Pelodiscus sinensis: one gene and its partners. The protein of the gene in region 1 purifies or fractionates together with the protein of each later gene. This does not show direct contact. Links are inferred from orthologs where the notes say so. Each region holds a gene or a part of one and is shown on either strand. Other genes may lie near its edges.

Region 1 (3,745 bases):
TTGTCTCTGCATGCTTAGGGCCAGATCTTTCGTCGGCACAAGTCCGCGCAGCTCCGCTGGAGCGGAGGCAGCGACGCTGATTTACAGCAGCTTTAAGATTTTAAAGCCTGCAGAGTTGTGCAATACTCACTTGCACAACCCCACTGCCTGCCTGCCTCCATTTTTAGGCAAGAGAATACAAGACAAAACTCTCGGTTACTAGAGCGGCCAGGCAGTAGCGCCGTGGTTTTCCACCGGCAGGTCACACCCCAGAACTGGGCGGTGAAGTGTCGGGCGCTGGGTCTCGCTGCTGCAGGGGGATCCGGTGAGCAGTAGGGGCGCTAAGACTGTGCTGTGCCCCAGAAGCTCTCTGGCTCCTATGTTGGGGAGAGGGGAGGAAGAGAGCTCTGCACTGCCCCCATCCTGAGCGTTAACCCTGCACTCCCAGTAGCTGGGAACCTGGTCTGCGGTGCCAGGAGAGGCAGGAAGCTGCCTTAGCGCCCCCTGCTGCACTGCTGACTCGGAGCTGTTGGAGGTCAGCCCCTCCTGCCCCAGCCCTGACATCCCCAAAGCTAAGTTCTCCCCCTCAGCCCCGTCCCAGAGCCCGCACTCTCTCTGTTGGGTCGCGGACAACAAGAATTTTCTTCAACTGGGTCACGAGATAAACGGTTTGAAACCCCCTGCTGTGGTGAACACAGGAATGCCAGGAAGAGGGGTGATCAGAGTTCCTGGCGTTCAGGGTTTATCACTGTCTAAGCTGCTACGTAGCATAAGGTCCCTGCAATGTGGGCACGTTAATACTGATTTAAGAACCTTGTAAATTCTCAGCTCGCGTGCTTACGTCTACCCTCTTTGGAGCTACACGAGCAGAGGTCTTCAGCGTTAGGACATACACATTCGTTTCTGGTCTGGGTCTTAGGACCTGAATTCTCAGCTTGGATGGGGCGGGGGAGAGGGGGAAAGAGGAGAGAGCACTCTGCTGGCAGGGATCCCAGCCAGACGAGAGGATTGCCGTGTGGAAAGAGGGAGCCAGGTATGGAAAAAGATGAGAACCACAGCCCTAGGTTGCACAACCAAACAGGAATATAAATGTTCAGTCCTGCTCCTCCAGAGAGGAACAGGAATGCCGCGGTTGCATTCAGCAGAAACCAGCTCAGACATTCAACAGAGGAAGCCTCAGAGGAAACAACACCTCCCCCTACACCCGATTAAGGAACTCAATGGATTAGCCATTATAATATTATTGAATCTCATCAGCTGAAGCTAGGGAGGTAAAATCCTGTTCAATTAGTTAACCAGTTAAACGTTATGTTGAATTGGTTGACTGAACGGGGAGGGAGGCGGGGCTGTTCCACAGCCTGCTGGGCTGGAGTGGCTCCTCTACCTGTCACAGCAGCTGCTGGCTCCCAGCCAGTTGGCAGCCTCGCACAGGATATGTGTGTGAGAGGGCTGCCGGTTTCCAGCTATCAGCAGGCTCACACTGGGCAGAAGCAGGGCAGGGGGATCTGGACTGGGTGAGACTTACCAGGTAACCGGTCACTCATTCACATCTCTAGCTGAAACAGGCTTGGGCAACCTCAGGGCTAGGAATACACAGCGCCCAGGGAGGGGCACAGACACACAGCTATTAGACCAGGGATACGCAACATCGGGCCCACCGTGCAGTTTGGCTTTACGCAGGGCTCAACACACAGCCCGTGAGTGGGAGCCAAAACAAAAAAGGAGTCAATATAATGGTTTTCCGTTGATATGTGTTTTAGTAGTTAAATTTCTGGACTGCCATTGCTCATTAAAAGGGCTCTCGTATGGATGGAAATCAGGTAACTATTGCATTTTATTAATATCAGCAGAACTGACTTCAATGGGGCCTGCGTGTTGGGTAATCTTGCCTTACTCTTTGTATTCATGCCTGTCGGCGTGAAAGAAGATAGTTGCATATATATTTGCATGTATATGCAACCACATCTTAAGTTGCGGCCCTCTTCATGTGCTGTGAATATCATTATGGTCCCCCCCCCCCCCCCCCCCGGCTTCCAAAGTTGAGTAGCCCCGAACTAGACACACACACAGGCCTAAGGATAATACAGATGCTTCCAGTTCCAAGCAAGGCAAAGCATTCTCGTCCGTGGGCGCTTTACCCCCCTCCCCGGCCCTGCTCTCCTGCTGGCAAAGCGAAAGGCTCCTGGGGGCGAGGAGTCAAACAGCCTTCACGGGCAGCGACTTCCAGCTGCACAAGTGTGTGGACGCAGCCCTGTCGCTAAAACCTTCCACATATAGATACGCGCACGCACTTAGTCGAGAGGCAACTTCCATGGACCAAGCCCGGCCTGACGCTCACCCTGTCACAGGCAAGTCACTTACTGCCTCCGTGCCTCAGTTTCCCCATAGGAGACACGGGAGGGGAGGACGGTCACAGAGCAGGGGGGAGGTCCCTCCCCTCCCCTCCCCTCCCCAGCTGCAACAAGCGACATCCCGCGAGGGGCGGAGGGGACGCACCCCAGCTGGGACCTCCCCGGGAGGCAGCAGCCGGGCTGGGCGGCGAGGCATCGCGGAGCCTGCCTGGGCGAGCAGCGACGCCAGACGGCGCAGCCAAGCGGGCGCCCGACCTGCCGCTGCGCCCTGGCCGGGGGGAAGCGGGGTGCGGACGGGGGGGGCTCCTGCCTCCAATCCCCCCCCCCCGAGACCCGACCCCCCAAGAACGCGGCTCGCTCCGCTCACCGTCGGGGTGTCCGCACCGTCCGCGCTGCGCTCCCCTGCTGGACACACGGCGGCCGGGCGCTCCCTGCGCTGCAGACTCAGCCTCCCCGGCGAGGGGTGGGGCGGCAGGCGGGGCCCGGGGCTGCAGCCAATGAGTCCCGAAGGGCGCGGCGGCTGCCTCCCCGGGGGGGGAGATCAACAAGTTCAGTCCCCACGGGGGGGCCCCACTGGGGCGCGTGCCGTGCCCGCCCCCCCGGATGAGGCGCACTAGTGGCCGGGGCCTGCGCCCCTTGGTAAAAGGGCTTTTCCTGCCCCTGGAAACAGGCGTGAACAAGGGTTTTACCCGAGCCACTGCCCATCAGGTGCCCTCGGGGTTATGGGCTCTGTCTGGGGCCTTCTCCCCACGTGGCTTGGGGCAGCCTGAGCCCCAGGGCTGTGCTCAGCCTGCTGCCAGCTCCCACAAGTGCTCCCAGCCTGGGGCAAGCCCAGCGCCTGTTCTCTGGGGGAAAGGTAAAGCTGTGGGCCCAGAGAACCCACCAGCCCGCTGCAAAAACAGGCGAGGCCGGGCCTGAATTAGGCCTGTCAGAATCAGGGCCGGCTTCAGGGAAAATGGTGCCCTTGTGGGCCAATTTCCTCTGGCACTCGGGCTCCCCATCCTGTGCCCCTCTCCCCACTAACCCCTGCATTGTGCCCTCTTTGCCTCAATCTCTGCACAGTGCCCGCTTCATCCCAGCCCTTCCAGCATGTCCTACCACACTGCCCCTGCCCAGTTCTCTGCACCCCCTCTGCCCTGGGCACCGTCCCAGTTCGTCTAGCCCTAAAGGCCAGCCCTAGTCAGAATAATGTGAAAACCAACACCTTCTAGGCCTCTCTTCCCGGGTCAAAGAACCCTAAGAGGGCACCAACCCCAGTCCCCCCACCCATCCCCGGTCACCTTCCACGTCATCCTTTGGCAGTGCCCAAGCAGTGTTGCTGAGTAACAACACTTAGCCCTGTGTACACATGGTGGTTGTGTTTCTCAGCCACAAACAATCATTCACTGGCTGTGTCAATAGACCTTCCGCCCTGA
Region 2 (3,745 bases), on another chromosome or scaffold:
AGGTGCTGCATGGAGACACACACCACGGCTGTCGCACAAAGCTTACAGCCCTGAGGGTCAGGTGCTAGCCCTGGCACCATGGCCCCATTCCAAAGGGGACGTTACCAGCCCGGACCATTAGCTGGCAAAACGCTTCCAATGAACCCCGTCTCCTGCCCATTTGCAGACCGTTGTTTACGACTGAGGCGTTATAGGGACGCACTGGAGCTCAGCCAGCGCGGATGGAGAAATCGACGCTGCCCAGCCTGGCCCTGCTCCGCCTGAATAACAAAGTCACGGAAGGGCTGTGGGGAGAAATCCAAGATGGCGGCGCTTAGCGCTGCAACATGTTCCCCCCTTTTTGCTGTATGTGTCGAATGCCAGTAACTTTCTGGCAGCTGCAACGCCCCCGGGAAGTGTCCGTGGGACACAGAATACTTTGCTTCCTGTTCTGAGTAACACTATGCCAAGCATGAGGACCGTGCGTCCGCTCCAGAGGCTGCCGTGCGTTGCACAAAGACATTTCCACGCTGTGTGGATGGAAAAGCGCGCAGGGAATTTTGCCCTGGATTTGAGCAGGAGCAGGACTGCGTTAGGCAGGCTGCAAAATGCTTTGGGATGAGACATGCTACCGAAGAGCAGAAGAAGTGAGAGGGATCCCAGAGCATGTCTACACCGCAATAAAAGCCCCGCGGCAGAGCCACAGCTGGCCAGGGTCAGCCGAACTGGTCTCCCAGCATCCCCTGCAGCAGCAGCTGATGGCTGATACAGAGCCCTGCACACCGAATCCCCAACAGCATCTGGACCCTCTGGACTCACAAAGCTCCCCCGGCGTCTCCCAGGGCCATGTATGCGCCCCATGCCGCTCAGCTCAGACCGGGAGATTCAGGGCTTGGAGCGACAGTGGCGCGTACCGTGTACTCAGCAAGATCCCAGCGGGCCCAGTCCAGGGAGCACAAGGCAGACACGAGAGGGGTTTGCTTGCAAATCCCAGAGCTGGATGTGTGGCGGCCAATCTCCGCTGATTTCAAGGGAGCAGGAAAGTCTGCGAGGGCTGCATCGCAGTGCAGCTGAAAGGGAGACCGGCCTGGGCTCGCAGACACACACGGAGGCAGGGTCCGCTGGCCTGTGCCAGGCCAAGGCACCAAGGCCTTGCTCTCAGGGCTCTTCAGGCAAAAGGGAACGATCGGATCGTCCGGTCTGACACCTGCAGAGCCCAGGCTGCAGAACTTCACCCGTGACGCCTGAGGCTACATCCCAGCAGGAGCCCACGTCACCAAGGGACGGGAATGGATGGCATCCCTTGGCGAGCTGTGCTGATGGCCAATTGCCTTCACTGTTACAAAACTTCATCGGATTTCAGTCTGAGCTATGCTGGCTGCTGCTTCCAGCCCCTGGATACTATGATGCCTTGTCTGGGCAGTGAGGGAGCCTCCTGCCTCAGAAATCTCCTTCCTGCCTCGGCGCTTGCAGACAGGATTTCCTGTGGGACTAAGCGGGCCGGGGCAGATGGCTTGGAGTCGCGGCGGGTGGGTGGAAGCGCGCTGGAGGGCAAGCAGCACGACAAACACTCAGTTCTCCCCGGAGCAGGCTTTGCTCTGCACCAGGCGCCGGTCGGGTCCCAGTGTGGGCCCTAGGAGAGGGGCCGACTCATGAGGGTTTCTAGTTCTCACCTCGTCACCTCTCTGGCGCAGCCTCTCCCGGCTTTTCCCTGGGGCACCTGGCAGGGCAGCGCCCTTTGGAACACCACAGATACGGTGGAGTCACACCCAGGCTGGAGTCAGCCCCACGCCTTTGTGCTGAAGTCACTATCTCTCAGGCTCCCGGCTGCCGAGAGACTCGGCCCTGGGCCAGCACGGCTGGGCCGGAGGTGCCGGCGTGGGACGGAGAATTCAAGAGACCATTTTCCAGGGCAAATCCCAAAAGCAAAAACTGCCCGTTGAAAGTCAGTCAGACTGTGCCCGGGCTCAGCGTCCCTGCCCGCTGCCTCGGAGCCAAGCTCTCCCTTACCTGGCCAGGTGTCTGCATAGCAAGAGGCACACCCTCAGCCAGGAGTAAACAGGAAGGCCCTTTTCCCTACTTGGGCGGCGGCCCCGGGAGCAGGCCAGGTGCATGCAGTCAGGAGGCAACCCAGAGAGAGGCACCCAGTCCGGGGGGCAGCATGAAGGGTCACAAGGCAGAGGAGGGCACAGGGGCCCATTCTGACCCCCTGCATCGTTCCTTCCCCTCAGCAAGGCGCCGGCGCCCTAGACACGCCCCTTGCTCGCTGTCCGGTGGCAGGACAGCCCTGGGGGAGGGGTGGCTGTGTCTGCAATGACCATACAGTCACATTGCTTGCAAAGCGCAGTGGCACAGACTGGCTCTCCTACCTGGATTCCATTCGGGTAAACGTCTCCCTCCCCGATGGAGTCCACCAGGTCTTCCTCGTCCAGCGTCGCCCGCTTGTAGGTGGACATCTGAAACGTCAAATGGAGAACAGACTCCCTTAGCGTCTCCATGGCACGGTGCAGCTAAAGGCCCCCAGGGATGCTGGCGGGAGGCGGGCCGGCCAGCCAGCCAGCGCTTTGCGAGCAGGGCTGCTCAGCCCTTGCTGGCTGGATCCCCATCTCCTGCGCTCTTTGCTGGTGACTCTGGAGCTGTCTGACCAAGGTCAATCGGGGCAACCTCCCCTTTGGACCTGGATCCGCTCGGCCGACCCTCCCCAGAAAGTCGAAGCGAAGCAACACCTGCAGCAGACTCTGGCTGGGACAGCGGCCCCCAGCTGGTTGTTCGTCCTCCCTTGCGCTGAATCCAAGCGGCTGAGAGATCAAGCGGCTGAACAATTTAATCTGAAGAAACTCCCAGAAGCACAGGAAAGCCGGCCCAGCCCAGCCCCGGCCCTCCGCCCCCATGGCTCCGAGCAGCCCTCTGCTTGGCCTTAAGTAAACTTGCTCTCTCCAGGGGAAGAGGAGGCTTGTGCGGAGCAGGGCTGCCTGCCTCAGCCTGGGAACATGAGACATGCACATTTCAAAACACAGGAGCAGGGAGGGAGGCAGGGACCAGGAAGTAAAGCGAGGTCTGCATTCCGCAGCAGGCGCCGAGGGTGCTCAGAGGCCAGCCCCCCCCCACAGGCAGCCCCACCCACCCCAGCGCCGTGTCCTGCCTGCCCAGCCCCGCCTGTTTCACTTCAACGCCGGGGCTGCGCTCCAGAGCGGGGCAGGCCGGGCGGATGGGATGACCAGAGGAGCAGACGTCTCTCGCAGCCATCCTCCTCCAACAGATCCAAGACACAATGTCCCAACTGGATGGACTGTCCCAGCTTTGAGGGGTCCCCCGCCCAGGCTCGGAGACGAAGGTAGCGCACTTGATTCCACTGAAGCACCCAGGAGGGGTCCTGCCACTTCTGCCCAGCTTCTCCAGCCCTACCGCCACCTCCTCCCTTCCCAGGAAGGCTGGCAACTGTTGTCGACCAAAGACAGCAGCTACCCAAGCAGCAGCCAAGACGCCCCCGCCTCTACCCCAAGCCTCCCAGTAAGGTGAGCCTGGGCTCCAGCTCTCGAGGTCAAAGCCTGGTGCCCTGGCCTAGGCTCCCTCACTCCGACAAGAGGCCATGCAAAACTCGAGTCCGGAGTGGGGCCTTCAGGATTGTTCAGGCAAAGGTGCCTTCTGCCTGCTTTGCACTCCTCCAGTTTGGGCCGACCTGCAGGTCAGCACAGCCCCCGGCACAGCTCAGAGCAGCCACCAGCCTGCTCCAACTTCACTCTGCTCCCCAGGCCTCTCTCTGACC
Region 3 (3,745 bases), on another chromosome or scaffold:
GCAATCGGGAGGCTGGTGGTGGGGTCGGGGCCTCGCTGACCCCGGCTAGGGCCCTGCCGAGAGAGGATTGCAGGCGGCATCATCCCCTGGCACGCCACAGGCAGGGGCTCAGCTCGGGGGTCAGCCTGTGGAGAAGGAAAATGGGGTGTCCCCTCCACCCTGCACATTGGGGGGGTGTTAAACATCTTGCAGGCTGGGGGCAGGAAGCCAGGGTGACCCCCGCTTCCCTTCCCCGCCACACACTCTGCACCCCCCGAGTGGCACCCTTGCACCTTCCTGAGTGGGCGTCACATTTACCCTTCTAATGCCCCAGCCCTGCATTTCCCCTCCCGTGTGCCCCAAATGCCCCATCGCGTTTGCACCTTCCCTATGCACTCTGACCCCCAATGCCCCTCCCCCACAAATGCCCCTCCCCCATGCACCCTGACCCCCAAAGCCCCTCCCCCACAAATGCCCCTCCCTCATGCACCTTTACCCCAATGCCCCTCCCCCACAATTGCCCCTCCCCATGCACCCTGAACCCCAATGCCCCTCCCCCACAAATGCCCCTCCCCCATGCACCCTGAACCCCAATGCCCCTCCCCCACAAATGCCCCTCCCCCATGCACCCTGAACCCCAATGCCTCTCCCCAACAATTGCCCCTCCCCCATGCACCCTGACCCCCAATGCCCCTCCCCCACAAATGCCCCTCCCCCATGCACCCTGACCCCAATGCCCCTCCCCCACAAATGCCCCTCCCCCATGCACCCCGATCCCCAATACCCCTCCCCCATGCACCCTGACCCCCAATGCCCCTCCCCCACAAATGCCCCTCCCCCATGCACCCTGACTCCCAATGCCCCTCCCTCACAAATGCCCCTCCCCCATGCATCCTGACCCCCAATGCCCCTCCCCCACAAATGCCCCTCCCCCATGCACCCTGACCCCCAATGCCCCTCCCTCACAAATGCCCCTCCCCCATGCATCCTGACCCCCAATGCCCCTCCCCCACAAATGCCCCTCCCCCATGCATCCTGACCCCCAATGCCCCTCCCCCACAAATGCCCCTCCCCCATGCATCCTGACCCCCAATGCCCCTCCCCCACAAATGCCCCTCCCCCATGCACCCTGACCCCCAATGCCCCTCCCCCACAAATGCCCCTCCCCCATGCATCCTGACCCCCAATGCCCCTCCCCCACAAATGCCCCTCCCCCATGCATCCTGACCCCCAATGCCCCTCCCCCACAAATGCCCCTCCCCCATGCACCCTGACCCCCAATGCCCCTCCCCCACAAATGCCCCTCCCCCATGCATCCTGACCCCCAATGCCCCTCCCCCACAAATGCCCTTTCCCCTCCCCCATGCACATTGACCCCCCCCATCATTGCCCCTCCCCCACATTTTCCTTTGCCCCCCGCAGCCCGCCCCTCCCGTCTGAAAAACTACGACTCCCAGCATGCCGTGTCCTAGCCCCAGCGTGACCTCTGACCCCGCTCTTCTATCCTCCCCCCCCACCGTCAACAACGAGCTCGAGCTCAACAACAGCCCTAGCGGCTCGGCCGTGCGCATGCGCCGGGAAGCGCGCCGGGAGGGGGGGACCCAGCTCGCGCATTCCCCTTTCCCTGGAGCCGGCAGCAGCTGCAGCGCCGGCGCGCGGGGACCCCGCTGGAACGCTGCGGAGCAGCCGCCGGCGCGCGCCCGAGGTAAGCCGCTAACGGTCCCCAACGGCCGCCCGCGGCTTTTCCCGCGCTTTCCGAGGGGAGGGGGCGCCGCGGCGCTGGGCAGGGGGGCTGCTGCGCACGCGCAGTGCGACCCACCTCCCCCGCGCAAGTGGGCAGCATAGGGCACCTCCCCCGCCTCACACCCACGGGGGGGGGGTCTTGCACATCCCTTGCACCATTGTCCCACCCACTGGGGGGGTTGCACGCCCCTTGCACCATTGGCCTGGTGACAGACTCTCGTGCTCCCTGTAGCACCATTATGGGGCTCTCGCACGCTCCGTGCACCATCAGTTTCGCATACGTGGTTTGCAGGCACCATTGCTGTCTTGCACGCTCCTTGCACCAGTGAGCAGCAAGGGGCAGCTCTTGCACGCCCCTTGCACAGTCACTTCCTCATAGCAGAGTCCTATGCCACCCCCCTCGTGGGACTCTCGCACAGCCTTCGCACCAAATTACCTGTGCACGGGGGTCTTGCGTGCCCTTTTCACCGTTGCTTTCCCCGTATCTGGTTTGGGCATCCCTTTGCACTGTTGCTCCCTTGTAAGGCTTTCTCAGGCCTCCACAGCACGGGTGTTCACAGGGGCTTTATGTGCCTTACACCACTGATTTCCACCGCCCCCCTCCCGTTGCACACTCTGGCACTAGTTCACAGAGCCTTACCTGCTGATGGGGCTCTCACGCCCCTTCCAGTAGTGCACGACAGACCCACATCCCTTGCACTATTTTCCTCACAGAGCTCCTGCAGCATACCCTTGTCCTGGTGATTTAGTCACAAGAGTCGTACACATTCCTTGCACTATCATTCCTTCTCTTGAGGGGTTGCTCCTCACTAGGATTTTGTGTACCCATCACAGTTTTCCACCATTATCCCTCTCCTGCTGTGGCTTTGCACTCTCTTGTACCCTAGGCACATTGGTGATATGCATGCACTTTCACAATTCTGTCCCCTCTATGGGGACCATATGGAGCCTTCACGTGTTCTCATGTGGGATTTCCTCATGCTCGCACGACTGCGTGCTTTCATGTGAGTTTCACTAGGACCCTAAAGGGAGTTTGTGTATCCTGGCCCTGGGATCCTCTGGAGCAGCCATATTCCCTTGCTCTGCTGAGCATGCTTGCACTACTGACATTTAATAGTTACCTTCTCACCCCAGGACCCTGATGAAAAATTGCACATTTTTGGAATACTCGTGCATCATAATTGTTCCTGGACCTCACGGATTAGTTGCATATGTCTTTGCACCAGAATTTTGTTCAATAATCCTCTCTTTGCACTAGGATATTCCACCTCCTTGTACCAGAGCTGTTTGGAATAGCTGTCACCCTGCACCAGGATCCTTGCACTGTTGCACCAGGTTCACGTGGGGTGTTCGCAACCGGGGCTCTTTGGGATACTTGCTGTCCTTGCACGTTACGTCATTCACCAGTGGGTAATTCTCCATCTCGCACCTGGATCTCTTGGTCTCTCCTTCCTCCAGTGTTGCACTAGGACCGTGTGACATTCTATTGCCGCCTTGCACTGTCACATTTCCGTAACCCACAGACCCCCTTCCTCGAACCGCCTTCCCAGCAGGATACAAACTGTTGCTTGTCTCGGGACACGTGAAACATTCTCCTCCGGGCCCACGGATCCTGCCGTGCACTTCTCCGAGGATTGCCTGCATGCAAACAGCCTCCAGCAAACAAATCATTAACTAAACCAGACAGCCGTGAAATATTTGCCCGGTAAACCATGGGTCAGCTCCGGTGCTCCACCTTTAGCCACACCTGCGGAAAACTCACCTGATACCGACCAGGTGTCTGGGCACCACCTTGCACCAGACCGCGAAGGCGCCACGCTCGATATGAATCCACTCAGTGACGGCACCTGCTGTTACCCTCCTAAATTATCGTTTCCCTTTTTATTTGTTGTTGTTTCTGGATGATTAGAGTTTAAAGCTACCAGGAAGTCGTTCGATTGCTCCGCGCCCGCATGCACCAACGCCACCAGTCCCCGGCCAAAATGGCTTCCGTCCGGTTCATGGTGACCCCGACGAAAATTGA

Evidence for each region. The genes of interacting proteins can lie anywhere in the genome.
Region 2: the proteins of LGALS3 (region 1) and ECE1 purify together in Homo sapiens (affinity purification with mass spectrometry; 3 studies listed by BioGRID and IntAct, counting the BioPlex papers as one, with this or other methods). This does not show direct contact. The link is inferred for Pelodiscus sinensis from reciprocal best matches to the Homo sapiens genes LGALS3 and ECE1.
Region 3: the proteins of LGALS3 (region 1) and SLC12A6 purify together in Homo sapiens (affinity purification with mass spectrometry; 3 studies listed by BioGRID and IntAct, counting the BioPlex papers as one, with this or other methods). This does not show direct contact. The link is inferred for Pelodiscus sinensis from reciprocal best matches to the Homo sapiens genes LGALS3 and SLC12A6.

The regions. Positions count from the first base shown.
Region 1 is NC_134714.1:9,299,704-9,303,448, reverse strand, and holds the start of LGALS3 (galectin-3), read right to left. Parts: upstream 2,828-3,745; 5' UTR 2,698-2,827; intron 1-2,697. UniProt on the Homo sapiens protein: Galactose-specific lectin which binds IgE. May mediate with the alpha-3, beta-1 integrin the stimulation by CSPG4 of endothelial cells migration.
Region 2 is NC_134733.1:3,691,980-3,695,724, forward strand, and holds the start of ECE1 (endothelin-converting enzyme 1), read right to left. Parts: upstream 2,982-3,745; 5' UTR 2,979-2,981; coding exon 2,706-2,978; intron 2,436-2,705; coding exon 2,349-2,435; intron 1-2,348. UniProt on the Homo sapiens protein: Converts big endothelin-1 to endothelin-1.
Region 3 is NC_134740.1:2,568,069-2,571,813, reverse strand, and holds the start of SLC12A6 (solute carrier family 12 member 6), read left to right. Parts: upstream 1-1,526; 5' UTR 1,527-1,684; intron 1,685-2,980; 5' UTR 2,981-3,674; coding exon 3,675-3,745.